Pelodiscus sinensis: one gene and its partner. The protein of the gene in region 1 binds, or shares a complex with, the protein of each later gene. Links are inferred from orthologs where the notes say so. Each region holds a gene or a part of one and is shown on either strand. Other genes may lie near its edges.

Region 1 (7,092 bases):
TTTGGCTTCTAAACCCCCCAGCCTGTTGCTGAGGCTGCTTCCTCCATCCTCCCAGACAGAAACTAACTAACTTTCCTCCAGCCCTGCCCCCCAAACAGGGCAGCATTCACCTTCCTTTATTCCTCTCCATGGGGGTTAGCTGGTCAGACGGTTGAGAGATCCCTTTGCATAATGACCCATCTCTGTCCTTCTGGGCTGTGGTACCGGCGGCAGCCAGTGGGGTTACCACAGACCCATAGAAACCAGCAAGTTCCCCCCCACTACGTCACACAGACTAACTCAGCTACCCCTCTGAAGCTTCTCATTACAATGTACAGCAGCTAATGAACTAAACATTATGGCTGCGTCTAGACTGGCATGATTTTGCACAAATACTTTTAACTGGAAAGTTTTTCCGTTAAAAGTATTTGTGCAAGAGAGCGTCTATACTGGCATGTGCCTTTGTGCAAAAGATTTGCTTTTGCGCAAAAGCATCCGTGCCAGTGTAGACGCTCTCTTGCGCAAGAAATTAACTTGGCTATCTACAAGTATTCTTGCACAAGAGGGCTTATCCCTGAGTGGGTGCGTCGGAGTATTTACACAAGAATCACTGATTTTGTACAGTACAAAGTCAGTGTTCTTGCGCAAATACTCGCGGCTAGTGTAGACAGGCGGCAAGATTTTGCAAAAAATCAGCCGCTTTTGCACAAAATCTTGCTAGTGTAGATGCATCCTACCTGTGTCGATGCATTCATGTTTCTCAATTTTCAGCACACTCATGCAGCTGTTGCACTATAAGGTACGTCTACACTGCAAAGCTCTTTTGGGATAATGGAAGTATCTCAAAATAGCTATTCCATGTCTACTGAAGCAGCCTATTATTTCATTTCAAAATAATGGGTGGCTTATTCTGGTGTTCTGGTAATACTCGTTCTATGAAGCCTAAGGGGAATTTCAGAATAGTGAGTTATTTAGAAATATTATGAAACAAGCTATTTCGAAATACACTAGGAATAAGCTACGGAAGTTGTGTAGCACAAATTATATCACTTATTTCGAGCTAAGGGTGCTGTGCTAAGGGTGTTCGAGCTAATAGTTAGGCCTGGAGTTACATTCACACTGGCATCTTTAAAAACTCTCTAACTCAAGATTTATTCTTACATGGTCAGCCAGTAAGGCATGTGGAGTAGGGATGTGAATGGTTAACAACACTTACTGGGTGATACTTAGTGGTTATAGTTAACTAGCAGGGGCTAAGGCAACGACCCCATTCACTGCAGGCAGGGGGCTGCCCCAGCTCCATGTGGTTCATGGCAGGTGGGAGATGTTCCAGAACGACTGGAGCAGCCCTCTGCCCTTGGTTCCAGTCCTGCCCTCCTACTCGCTTGTTCAGCCAGTTAAACATAATGGCTACATCTACACGGGCATGATTTTCCGAAAATGCTTTTAACGGAAAACTTTTCCATTAAAAGCATTTTCGGAAAAGCACGTCTAGATTTGCGGAAAAGCATCCTGCCAAAGCATTTTTTGCAGAAAAGCGTCCGTGGCCAATCTAGATGCGGTTTTCCACAAAAAAGCCCCGATCGCCATTTTCGCAATCGGGGCTTTTTTGCGGAAAACAGTACTGTGGTGTCTACACTGGCCCTTTTGCGCAAAAGTCTTTCAGAAAAATACTTTTGCCCAAATGGGAGCAGCATAGTATTTCTGGAAAAACACTGATGATCTTACATGAGATCGTCAGTGCTTTTCCGGAAATTCAAGTGGCCAGAGTAGACAGCTGGCAAGTTTTTCCGCAAAAGCAGATGATTTTGCAGAAAAACTTGCCAGTCTAGACACAGCCAATCAGGGGCAGGTGACTGTTTTGTGGGGCCCCAGGCAGCATAACTCCGCGGGGGCCCCCCCTTTGCCACGGCGCATGCGCGGTGGTGCCACGGCACATGCGCGGGGCCCAGGGCGGCCGCCCCGTTCGCCCTGCCCTATATCCGCCCCTGCAGCCAATGTTTAAACAGGATTTTACATCCCTAATGTGGAGTTTCCTGTAGTATTGATGTCATGTCAATTTTTTTCTCTTTGTAAGGAATTAAAGATACATTTTTTTTTTACAACCTGTTCCTGCTACAGTTGTCTCATTCCTTGTTGCCTCTGACACTTCTAGTTGCAGTGAAGACTTTTAGAGAAAAAAATTCCCCTTTTTGAGGAAAAAAATCATTACAGGGTATGATTGTTAGACATGTGAATTGACCCAGATGGACTACATTGTCTCCGTCTATTAGCATTGTTATATAAAAACAACCTAAATGGGATGGAACACTTAAACAACAAAGGAAAGGAATGTGTATCTAAGGAGGAAAGACTCATGAGAATAATAGTACAGTAATTCCTCATTTAACACTATAGATAGGTTTCAGAAAATGATCGTGTTAAGTGAAAACGTGTTATGCGGGGTCAATTTTCCCACTGAAAATAATGGAAAAGGTGGGGGTTGTGTTTCAAGCGTTAGTGTCTGTAGAGACCAGGACATAAGGTTGGGGGAGAAAGGGGACTGGGTTACAGCAGGGAGAGGAGGTGTTTGGCTCTGGGGAAGGGAAGGGGAGGGGGACTGGGTTGGGAGTATGCCCCTGTGACAGGTCTGCCGGGACCCACACTGCGTCCAGCGTGGGCAGGGAGGGAGGTTGCCGGGGAACAGCGAACCCTCTTCCGCTTTGCAGGGAGGCCTGGGAAGACCCGCGCAGCCGCTGGCAACAGGCCAGCTGGGGAAAGAGTGTTATTCCGGGGACAGTTGTGTAATTCAAGAAAGTTCCCTAAAAAAAAAAAAATTCATGCTATCACAAAAATGTGTTAAGTGGGCAAGTGTTAAATGAGGAATTACTGTATCTGACAGTGCTTTAATTTCATTTTTGTTTGTTGGATGGATCTTACCCCTCCCCAGCATGTTATTGCAAATGAGGCAAGGTAGGGGGTGTACTTGATTTTTTACATTATTTAGCATGGTTGCTGAAACTAAAATACAATCTCTGTAACAAATCAAACAGTTTGCTATAATTATGTCTCTGTCTCTTTCCTGCTCTACCACATCCTCTCTGCCAAATGCATTAGGGTTCACCGTTCCTGGGATATTTTGTTCAGGCAGCCGTCTCTATTATTTAAGCAAGGAAGGAAAGAAAAACAACTTCTATAATCAAAACGCAGAGCTTGCACTTTAGCTTTACCGACTCTAAGTAAATCAATCTAGTACTCACCTATCATGCTCTGATTGAAGGATGGAAAATCCTGTTCAATCAGTTCACCATTCGGTGTAACAGCTTAAATGGGATCCCATGGGCGGAGGGTGGGGGGGGCCGCGGGGAGCTGCTCTAGCCCAGCCACATGCAGCACAGCAGGCCCAGCCTGGCTGGTGGGGACATCCCTACTCTGATTATGGCAATAACAATTAACCACCCAATACGCTGCCGAAAGGGCATCTCGGCCAACAAAAGTCTGTAGCCTGCAGCAGGGAGCGGCACGTGGACACGGTCTGACCCCCCAGAAGCCACCAGCGCAGGGGGCTGGGCAGCAGGACGCCTCGGTTCTGCTGCCGGGCTGGGGCGGGGGGGCGGTTGCAAACGTTAAGGGCCTCCAGGCCTGACGAACGCGGCTCCGGCTGCCCCAGGCGCGCGCTCCAGCTCGCCCGGAATCGCGGCCGCTGCGCCAACCCCAGGCGCGCGCGCGCTTACAAAACCCAGGAACACGTCTCGCTGATTGGCGGGAGGGAACTAGACTCCCCACAAAGCCCCACCTCTCTGGGTCGGGCCCGTGAGCAGGAACCAATCCCGCGCCTCCCTCCGGCTCCCGATGGGGCAACCGCCAGCCAATCCCCTGCCTCTATATCTCCCGGCCCCTACACAAGCGCCGGGAATGTTGAACGGCAATGTCGCAAACACGCCGTCCCTGAGCCGGTGCGCGGCTTTACGGCAGCGGCAGCCAATCCCTTGCCTCCCTCGGGCTCTTAGTGGGGCAGCCGCTGGCCAATCGTCGGCTGCGATCTCTCCCTTCCTCCTCCCATAACGGCCTCGTGTGCGGCGCGACAGTGTCGCAAGCACGCCGTACCGGAGCCGGCGCGCGGCTTTACGGCAGCGGCAGGCCGAGCTCGCAGTCGGCGGCGGCGGCTCGCAGCCGCCCGGGGGTTGCACGCAGGCGCGCGCTCGCGCGGGGAGCTGGATGCCCGGGGGCGGGGGGAGCCCGGCGCCCTGCACTGTGCTGGGCGCGGAGGCGGGGGCCCCCGGCGGCGGGGGGGAGGCGGGCGGCGCGGGGGCCCCGGCGGGCAGGATGAGCCTGTCGCCCAAGGAGCTCTCCAGCCTGCTGAGCATCGTCTCGGAGGAGGCGGGCGGCAGCACCTTCGAGGGCCTGTCCAGCGCCTTCCACCACTACTTCGGCAAGGCCGAGCACTTCCGCCTGGGCTCGGTGCTGGTGCTGCTGCTGCAGCAGCCCGACCTGCTGCCCAGCCCCCCGCAGCGCCTCACCGCGCTCTACCTGCTGTGGGAGATGTACCGCACCGAGCCGCTGGCCGCCAACCCCTTCGCCGCCATCTTCGCCCACCTGCTCAACCCCGCGCCCGAGCGCGGCGACGAGGCCGAGCGGCCGCCGCTCTCAGGTACCGCCCGGGGCTTCGCCCCCGAGAGTCACCGCAGCCGCTTCCCTGGGCCCGCCGGGGGGGTGGGGCCGGCGCCGCTGCGGGGACTCCCGGGCTGTGGCCGCTCAGCAGCGATCGCACCCGAGCCTTTCGGGGGAGACGGGCAGCGGCCTGGAAGGAGGCCCCGCTCGGAGTGATGCTTTATTTCGTATCCACTGGCCCTGAGCCTGCCCCGGGTGTGTCTGCCCCAGCATCCTCCCCGGGTCTGTGCGAGTTGGGGCGGTGAGGTGTTGACTGAGAGCCCAGATGCGGGTGTGAGTGAATATTTCACAAAGAAGTTTTCAGGAGGTTAAGTACATTTTTGTTAATTGGAGAACACTTCACTTCAGCACCCATCTCCATAGTTCTTAACTCATCTGAACTGCTCTCTAGAAAGCAGCAAAAGAAACCCAGGTAGTTCTCAGGTCAGACACTTCATGCCTTCCAGGCTTTTTGTTTTAAAACACATGGTGAAAGGCTCATCACTTTCCTTTTGCAGTGCACTTTAAAAGGCAAAATGTTTAAAAGCACATTTGGCAATGGTCATACTCTACTCACAGTGCACATCTCCCTGGCTCTCAGTTTTGGGGACATTACATTAAAATCATGAAAACTGAGGAGGTCTACATAAAAATAAATTCCCCAGTCTAAATCAGAAGGATTCTTACTAAGGTAACTAATATACAGAGCAGATAAATTGAAGTGAGATGGGCATGCTCAGTTCCATTCCCCAGCACTGGAGCAGCCATGTAAGAGGTGGTTTTTTTCTGGGTGTTAGAATGTATGCAAAAAGTGAGGCTTTCCTGTCACTGCTCCCTCTGTTTCCAGTACAAATGCATCCCTATAATAGGGTCATGTCTCTGTGATCCAGGGCTGGAGGGTGACGCTCTGTCCAGATATTTATCTGTTTGGGGGCAAGGAACAAAAAAAAATAATAATTTTTAATTACCCCCCCACCCCTCGAGCTAGGGATCAGAGTGATGTGTTACTGAGTGGTGCAAGGCCCTGTTGAGCAGTGCTTTTACGTATTTTATTTTCAAAAAGGCACTACAAGGAAAAGAGGGTGTGGTGCATTTTGCTGTTTTACAATGCTTTAAGAAAGCATGAAATACTTTATGCCAAGGGTGGGGGCCCCAACTTTTTTTGGGTTGTGGGGGCCCCGAGCCACATAAAAATCAGCTGGGGGCTGCGCACAAGTGAGAAGCAAAAGGGAAAAAAAACCCACCTCACAGATGTGGCCCTCGAATGAAAAGCGGAAATACTCCAGACATTCCCTTTCTCTTGCATGCCAGAGCCTATGGGGGCCAGGCTAGTAGATTTTGTGTGCTCCAGCCCTGTGGTGGGGGAGGGAGGGCTGGAAATGCCAGCGTGGGCTCCTCAATGTTGAAGGGGAGAGAGCCCTGAGCCTCGGGCTGGATCCAGGCAAGCCGGGGGCTGGATGACCTTAAAAACCCTGCTTTTTAAGGGTTTGTCATGAGAATTACCAGGGTTTGCTTCACTGCTTTGAAGAAGTGGAGGGAGTAATATTGATGCTGAAACCAGAGGGACAAAAAGAAAAGGAATTTGAAGGGGGAATGGGTTTAGTTATTACTAATCACACCTGAGAAACATCTTCTGTTCCTGAAAAACACTGGGGAAAAAAACAGACAAGTTCTGTGGAAAAATTCAGTGCTCTACCCACACTTTCCTGCATAAGAGCTAAGGGAGGTCCCACTCATGCTTTTTAGGAGGAAAAAAAACCACTTTGTTATTCCCTGTATTTTTAGCAAACTTTTTTGCAGTATTCTCCAAGCTCTTGTAGTGACCATTTAGAGTGTGGGGAAAAGGAGTTGAACTTGACCAGCAATACTCTAGAGCAGTGGTTCCCAACCTTTTTGATACTGGGGACTGACAAACCCATTCACACACTTTTGGTGGACTAGTAATATTTTATTTGCATATTTGCGTGTGTTTTATGCAAATGATGAATTTGCAAATACAACATCAGTCTGCCAGAAGGCCCAGCCCCCAACACCTAGAGCCCTCCGCTACCCCCTAGCACCAGCCACTGACCTAAGTCCCCTGCACTCATCCCCCATTTCTCAGAGCCCCCCGCCACCAGACCCCCCCAGTAACAGCCTCCTCTTTCCGGAGCCTCATTGTACCCATTCCCCCCCAGTGCTAGCCATGGCCCCATAGATCCCCTATTACCAGCTCAGCCTCCAGAGCAACCCAGCACTAGTCCTGCCCCTAGAGCCCTCAGTGCCTGCTGCGACCCCCTCACCTAGCCCTGTGGTGCTGTACGTGGCTCTGGGGGCTGGAGCTGGGGAATACCACCCAGTGCTTCTCCTCCTGCCCCATTTCTCAGCCAACCAACAATGGCAGGTGCCAGGACTCCAACTGCAGAAGAGTGTTTCTCTGTGCAGCTGGAGGGCCACATGGCTTATGGTCTCCTCCCGGCCACATAAGTGCTTACCTGCATGTTG
Region 2 (7,855 bases), on another chromosome or scaffold:
AGAGTAATCCTATTAGCTAACACGTTGTGACTTGTGTGCCTGTTGCCATATATCAGCAGGAAGCCAATATGAACCTGCCATTCAAATTAAAAATATGCTAACTACATTAAACAGCTTAGAACCAAGTAGGCATGTTTTTAAACTCTATTGTATGAACAAAAAAAGTATTTACAGATTTCATCTGTTCAGCATGCCCTCAATCCGCACTGTCTACTTACGTGATTTCAGAGAATCTACAAAAACTCTAAGCAAGATATTGGAAGAAGACCATGTATTTTTAAAAAGTCATGTAAAATTTTAAATGCCAAGCTTCTTTCCAACTGTTCCCCCTTAATATTCAGCTTAAACGGACCCTGGAATGCTTATATTTATGAATAAGTGAGTAAGCTACCCACACTGAAATTCTCAGGTTAGTCAGCAGATGATCACTGAAGTACAGCATATTTACCATTGCAATGTAGCTGTAGCTGAGAACTATTTCTCGAATTTTCCTCATCTCCTCTTCCAGATTGTTTGCCCATACTTCACATATAACCTGACTGTTCTCCACAAGTGCTGCTGGCATCTTGCAGGAATTGGAGTAGAAGCACCTAATATCAAAATTGGAAAGTAAGTAGGGTAGTGTAAAACCTAACTGGCATAGCGCAGTGAACACACACAAACATGCTACTTTGCATTAATACATCTCAACAAATCAGAACAAAAATACAGACAGTGAGTTAGTATGGAATGTTTCTAGTCTGGAGTATCCCTTTCAGCTGGCATATCTGAGTTATTAAAATAAATTCTTTTCTGCTTTTAGAACATTTTTGTAATATGCAGTAAACTTCTGTTTTAAATTGGCAGAAGATATCCAGGATTACTAAGTCCAACTGAAACAAGTCTGCACACTTCAAGTATAAGGCCTATTTTTGCAAACCTAAAGAAAACTAATTAGGGATGTAAGTGACTAGTGGAGTCACTACTCCCCCCTGTTGCTGCCTCTATCAGAGGCAGCAATGGGGGGGGGGGGGAACAGGAGCCAGTGCTGGGGGGAGCCAGCTTAAAAGCAGGTTCCCCCCCAGCACCATCTTTGCAGGGGAGGCAGAGGTGCAGCAGGCAAATGGGCGCAAGCCAGGACTCAGCTGTCCCGGCTCGCACCCAGTCCCCCGCTGCAGGTCTGCCTTTTAAATGTAGTAAGAGCCGGGCAGCTCCCAGGGCAGGGAGCTAACCGTGCTGCAGCTCTGCCGTTGCCCCCTTTAACGACTAATCAAATAGTCAATGGAAATTCCTAATCCACTACTCAATTAACTCATTAAACCCAGTTTATCAGTCTTAGAACTAATACCTTAATTTAGTATTGCTTTTGCTACAGTGTTTTTCTCTTAGGGCTAGAAAGTGAGAATAAATAGCTTCTTACTACACTGTTATTTGTAAGATGTGTGCTGCTCTGTTTCAATTCCCCAAGACCTGTTCTACAAAGATTTTGCAGAAGTTTAACTATTCCATTAAGGATTGTGGTTGTATGCTGATAATATTACATCAGTACAACCACTTGTGTGGACAGTATTAACAGTTAAGATTATTCTAATACATTTATGAGACAAAATACATTGGTATAACTGCACTCCCTAAGGGGATTATGCTGATAGTTAAAGCAGTATGAAAACCAGGGGTAGACGAGAACCAATATTATACCTAGAAACAACATGCAAAGCATCTAGAGTTATTTACAGAAGCTGCAGTGAAGCCAAACAGTCCATCAAAAGCTTTATAAAAGCAGATACTGATCAATATTGTTTTACCTGTCAAGGAACTACTGTTTTTAAGTTTAATGTCATCAGTGTAGGCCTTTCGGTTCTTGCCAACTCTAGCTTTCCCAGAATTCTTTTAATGCCGTGATACATAGAAGGGGAAATATACCACCCTTGTAATTATGGTGTTGAAACTTTGGCTTGTTGGCAGCCTTTAAAAGATGAGATACTATCCATGGCTAATTATTAGTGGGCAGGTCTCCACATAAATGGCATACTTGTTGGCAGCCCCAATCAAGCCTCCAAGGATTTGTGGGCAACTCAGGAATGGGATACACAGGCAAAGCTGAAGTCTACATCTACTTCTGACTGGTGGCAGATTCACACTGCAAGAAGTCTGAATGCTACTGTTCTCGAGAAAGAGGGCACACCTGTGATCTGGGAAGGGAACAAGGCTTCCACGAAATTATCCAGCAGCAAGCAGTTGCTCTTTGCCTGGGACTGTCTCATGAAGGGACAGGTAAATCCTTCTTTAAGAGAAGGGGCTGAATCAGGCCACAGGAGGGCAGTGAAATAACTACCAGCGACTTTCCACCTTCCTTCAGGAAGCGGAAGTTACATTTCTCACAACAGAAATAAAAAGCCACAAAAATAATCCATGGGCAACTTTCTGCATCCCAATGCCCCCCACTGACTGCACCCTCAATAGCCATGGGGTCTCTTGGGTTCTGCTCCCCACTGCAGCCTTTCCTATTCCTTCCCCTTTCACCCCCCTCAGGGCCTCCCTTCCTGAGGACCCCCTCCCCCTTGCACTCTCCCACCCCCCCTTCTCCAGACCCCCTCCCCCAGACCCGCTCCCCCTTGCACTCTCCCCTCCCCCTTCTCCAGACCCCCTTGCACTCTTCCACCCCCCCTTCCTCAAGTCCCCTCCCCCTTCCATCCTCAGACCCCCTCCCCTGCTCCCCCCTAATCCCGCCCTTCCCCCCCCCCCGCTCCCGCTCCCGCCGGGGGTGTATAACGGGGCCTCCCCACGGCACCTGCTCTCTCCGCCAGGGCCGTCTCCTCACAGGCGCACAGAGGGCGCGGGCCGGGGCGTGGAGGGGGAAGCGGGGCCGCTCTAGCCGCTCGCGGGGCCGCTGCTCGTCTGCTCCTTCCCGCCCTCCCCCCGTCAGGCGGGCTGGCGGACCTCTCCCGCGCAGCCACACCACCGCCAGGCCGCGTCAGGATTTCCGGCCTGTCCCCCCGCTCTCGCGAGAGTGCACGCGCCGGTGGAGCAGGACGGAGGCCCAGACGGCGCGTGCGCGCAGCCCCCTTCCCGCGGGAAGCGCTGGGTGCGGCGGGGTGATAGGCTGCCCGCGGGCGCGGGACAAAGGGGCGGGGCGTCTGGTTCGAAGTGCGCCGGCGCAAGGGAGGGGGGGGAGCAATGCCGTTCTCCAGCCGTTAACGGCCGGCGGAACGGGCGAGCCCATGGGCGGGGGGGACAGAGCGGTGCCGGGGGGAGCCGGCTCCCTGCGCCCGGCTGGCCGCAAGAGGCGAAACGGGGCCACCGGCTCCCAGCCGGGCCCGCTCTCCACCCCCTACGGACCCCAGGCCCCGGGGCTGACGGGGACCCCCCCCGCTCCCAGCCAGGGACCCCCCCCCGCTCCCAGCCGGGCCCCGGGGCTGACGGGACCCCCCCCCCGCTCCTAGCCGGGCCCCGGGGCTGACGGGACCCCCCCCCCGCTCCTAGCCGGGCCCCGGGGCTGACGGGACCCCCCCCCCCCCCCGCTCCTAGCCGGGCCCCGGGGCTGACACAAGCCGGCCCACCCCCCAGCTCCTACTTCCCCCCCAGTCCAGTTGGGATCTTTGGGGTGGCAGGACTCAGTCCCCCCCTTTCTCCCTTTGGGGCAACCCCCCCCCCGGGTACCCACATTAGGCTCCCAGCTTGCAGCCATTGCCCCCTTGGGCACAGACCTGCCTTGCTTCTTCTGACTGGGATGGTCCAGGCTGCGCCGCGCCCATCTAGACTGAGTTCCCAAGCACGCCTGGGGACGCCTGTCCAGGTAAAAACCCTCCTTGCTGACTTGGGTTTGTGCCAGAACAGCTCTGTGGTCTTTCCTCTGAGCAGGTACATGTATTCGTAAAATGAAAAGTATCATACAGAAACAAGAGTCTTCTCACGTGACAATCAGCTCGCCTGCCCTCTCCCAGCAAAGGCTCCCTACATCCAAGCTGATCAGTCTCTTACATCCCACCAAGGGGATTTTCTGTGATCACAAACGTGTAACAGCTTTGAACCCAGAACAAGCATCTCTGTGAGTCATGCCATTATACAGGTTAGGCCTCTGTTCTTGTCCTCACGAAAAAGGTGATCAGGAAAAAAAAGTCGCATCCTCAGGGTGCAGTTTCAAAAGACTGGGTCTAGAGGTGGGTAATTTGCCTTCCTCTCTTCCTAAGTATTTTCAAGGAAACACATTTAACTAAAAATTCAATCTTGTTTGGCCCATAATTTTAACATAAACAGTTGCAATTTTAATACAATGAACTCTTAAGGTATCTAAAGTTAATTCAATAAGTTTTGTCCAGGTTATTGCTGTGTATGTTTCAGAAATAACAGGGTGTGATGAGCCTTCCCACTACTCTTAGGAGCTAGACTCAGGACAACCCGTTCAGATCTAATCACAACCAATAGCTACGGAAGACTTCACTCTGGCTAGGGTATCGCTGTCTATGCCAGGATTCCTTGGAGACTACAGGCCCAACCCTAGCCTGCCACAGTTAATTGGCGCATCACTAACACGCATCCCCAGCAGATCAGATGCTGAAGCGTAATTCCTGTCCATGAGGACTATGCCCTCCACTTTGCCTCTGGTTTTGCTGCTCTGAAGTGATTCTCAGGGGTCTGCATCTGAGGGAGGGAGATACCTGCCTGTCTGCATCTGGCTTTACTAAAGGAGAAGAAGCCCTTGACTGACAGGTCCCAAGGTTTTTTACAAAACATGAAAGTAGATGCTCTGCTTCAGAGGTTGTTCTCTTCCCATAATTCAGGGTTAGGTGACTTCTTTCATTCTACTGAATCTTGGTTTGGTGCCTTGGTTAGACAGGTTTTTGGAACTCGTTTCATTTCACATATCAGATTTATTTCAGTATCCCTGTCCTTTCATCCTACCAATAGGGGCGACTCTATGGGTGCTCCAGGGCTCAGACACCCACCCAAAAAAAATAGTGGATGCTCAGTACCCAGGACCAGAGCTGGATTGTGGAATGTGATGAGTTCTGTGCTGCTAACAACCTCTGCCCTTGGGGCAGGGAGTTTGTTTATATACAGAACAGGATGATTAAGATAACAAAACGCTTGTCATTAATTAAGAATCATTAGATGATCCTGAAAGCAGTCTCATGTACTCCAGTTAAAAGACAGGAAACAAACCATAGGAATAAATAATCCATTCTCAGAAAGATAAAGAGTGGTGTCCCCAAGGAGCTTGTACTGAGACCCGTGGTATTCAGCATATCCAAAAATGATCTTCAGAAAGGATCAACTGAGGTGCCAAAGTTTACAGATGATACAAAATTACTCAAGATAGCTAAGTCTAAAACAGACATCAAAGAATTCCAAAGGGATCTCACAAAATTGGGTGACTTAGCAACAAAGTGACAGTTGAACTTCTATGTTACATGCAAAGTAATGCATGTAGTAAAATATCATTCCTACTATACCGACAAAATATTGGTGCCTAAATTGGCTGTTACTCATCAACAAAGAGATTTTGGAGTCATTTGCTGTAGAGTACTGCAGATTCATAGAATCTTTCTCTTTGTGCCTGAATCATCCTGAACTCGTTCTGCAGCTTCAGAACACTTAAAAATTATCTCCAGTCATCAATGGGATAGGCACAAATGAATAATTTCTTAGCGTCCTTAACATGCACCAAAACAATAGCAGGGAACCTAGATGTAAATTAGATTGCTTGCAGTTTTATCCGGAAAGCTACAGTGAGATATGTCTTTAAACTGGGATGTTAGTGAAGACAACATGTAGGTGATTGCAATAATTTTAATATACAATAATTCATGATCATCTAATTATGTAATTCATAATAATTGAATCATTCTTACAAAAGTAAAGATGCCAATAATAGGCACATTCAATAATTAAAATATGAAAGTGTTTAAATATATTGTGAAAATAGCCTCCCCCAAAACTGACAGGGTATCTCCCCAAGTGCACACTCCTCTTCAAAAACACCTACTGACAGAAAGAAAAGTCAGTGCCTACGATTGAACCCTTCACACAGACAACTTTCCAAGCACTATGAAAGTAATTTATCATTTTCCAGTAAGTGACCTCTTCCGTGTCAGCATATGTTCATCGTTCTATCACAAACAAAGAAATGGTGCTTTTGTAACTCAGTATTTATTGAACTTTATCATTGAGGCTATTAGGAATATAAAGCTTATCTTTCCAGATTAGTTATTTTTATTCCCTTTTTGCTTTCTCAGCTGCAGCATATAGCCTTTAAGTTGCACGAGTTATACATTAATGCTCTATGTACTACTGGGGAAATTCTGTTCCAAAAATTAAAAGTTATGTGCACAATATTTTAAAATTGTCTATATTTTATTTGTCAAATTAACAATCACACCAGTTTCAATTCTTTTGGTAATTTATTTGAAAATACCTGTCAGCAACTATGTCTGCGACAATAAAGACAAGAAGATTAAGGAAATGTTTTTTGACAAATGGATTCCTTACTAGGTACATTAATAAAGAGCTTTGAGTAATAATTCATTTAAACGACAATATAGAAATGTATTTCCCGCGTCCCTCAGAAGCAGCTCAAAGGCTTGAGGGAGTGAGGGGTAATGGAGGAGTTAAAGGAGAGGGAAGTAATGGCTGGGAATTGCCTAATAGTTTTTTATTTGGGAGGGGGAGCGTTAGGGAATTGGGGAGCCTCCTCCATGTAGACCCTAGTTGACCCCTCAACTCTCCTATTCATTCAGACATATTTGCCCATCCCCATCTGTCCCTTCACTCCCTCTCAACAACCCCTCCTCTCCAAGCCTCATGTTTCCCTGCTATGGATGTGAATGGATAACTGGGTGAGGCTTACAAGATAACGGTTAACCGGAGCCTGGGAGCTGCTAATGGCCCACTGCGGGTGGAGGGCTACTCCAGCCCTGCCAGGTCCACTCGCTGCAGACTGGGGTGAGAGCTGGCAGCCTCACGTGAAGCCAGGAGCCCCGTGTGGGGCCCAGGTAGAAGCAGCCCACAGAGCTGACAGCCCTGTGGGATGGGGGCTGCTTCAGCCGGGATGGGACAGTCCCCCACCTGGGATCCCACTTAAAACCAGTTAAACCTCACATTTAACTGGTAAACTGATTAAATGGGATTTTACATTCCTAGTCCCTGCACACACACCCATTCCCATGTGTCCCTGTACTCCCACTTAGCCACCACTCTGTCCCCCCATCCCAATTTGCCCGTGCACCTCCCATTCAGCACCCAGCCTAGTCTCTCCCCTCATGAGCCCTAGTCTAGGTGATGCCTCCCCAGCCCTGTGTGCTCTGCTTTGTATATCTTCCCCCCATATCGGGTGCTTCCTCACTTGGCCCCATTGGCGGGGTGTTGTGAGGACCACTGCCTCTCCTGCCTTTCCACAATTGGCTGCTCTGGCCTGTGAGCCTGCTGCCCTCTGTTCTGGCACCACAGCAGCCCCTGGTGGGCAAAAGGCCTAATTGGATTGCCTCTCCAACAGAATGTGAAAAAAAATCTGCAGGGCACATGAATTATACATGTGCACAATAGCATAGAATTCCCCTAAGAGTAGGCCTGCCAAAACAGAACCATTGCAAGCAGAACTGAGTGTGCAGCTCTGTTAAGCCCTTGCAAGGACATGAGACAGCCAGCCCAACGTTTTTCAATAGCAATGGTGACTTTTTGTAGTATGGATACCTGTCCACTGGGAACCAAACTAATTTCGGACGGGACACCAAATAGCCAAGAAATGGGAGCTGCTTTTGATTACAGGCAACCTGGATTGATTTATACTTGGAAATCTTATCTAGGCCGTTCAGTCCTCTGTTGGGAGAGTTATTCAAAAACAATTTCTTATTTAAATGAGAGTTAAAAGAAAACACCA

The links. The genes of interacting proteins can lie anywhere in the genome.
Region 2: CNOT11 (region 1) and CNOT8 share a complex: the UniProt entries of both Homo sapiens proteins name them as parts of the CCR4-NOT complex. The link is inferred for Pelodiscus sinensis from reciprocal best matches to the Homo sapiens genes CNOT11 and CNOT8.

Annotation. Positions count from the first base shown.
Region 1 is NC_134711.1:230,737,476-230,744,567, forward strand, and holds the start of CNOT11 (CCR4-NOT transcription complex subunit 11), read left to right. Parts: upstream 1-4,075; 5' UTR 4,076-4,176; coding exon 4,177-4,609; intron 4,610-7,092. UniProt on the Homo sapiens protein: Component of the CCR4-NOT complex which is one of the major cellular mRNA deadenylases and is linked to various cellular processes including bulk mRNA degradation, miRNA-mediated repression, translational repression during translational initiation and general transcription regulation.
Region 2 is NC_134727.1:38,147,946-38,155,800, reverse strand, and holds the start of CNOT8 (CCR4-NOT transcription complex subunit 8), read right to left. Parts: upstream 3,003-7,855; 5' UTR 2,771-3,002; intron 2,172-2,770; 5' UTR 2,012-2,171; intron 1,883-2,011; exon of another isoform or gene 1,785-1,882; intron 591-1,784; 5' UTR 566-590; coding exon 449-565; intron 1-448. Other genes in the region: FAXDC2 (fatty acid hydroxylase domain-containing protein 2), read left to right, coding at 3,710-3,775. UniProt on the Homo sapiens protein: Has 3'-5' poly(A) exoribonuclease activity for synthetic poly(A) RNA substrate. Its function seems to be partially redundant with that of CNOT7.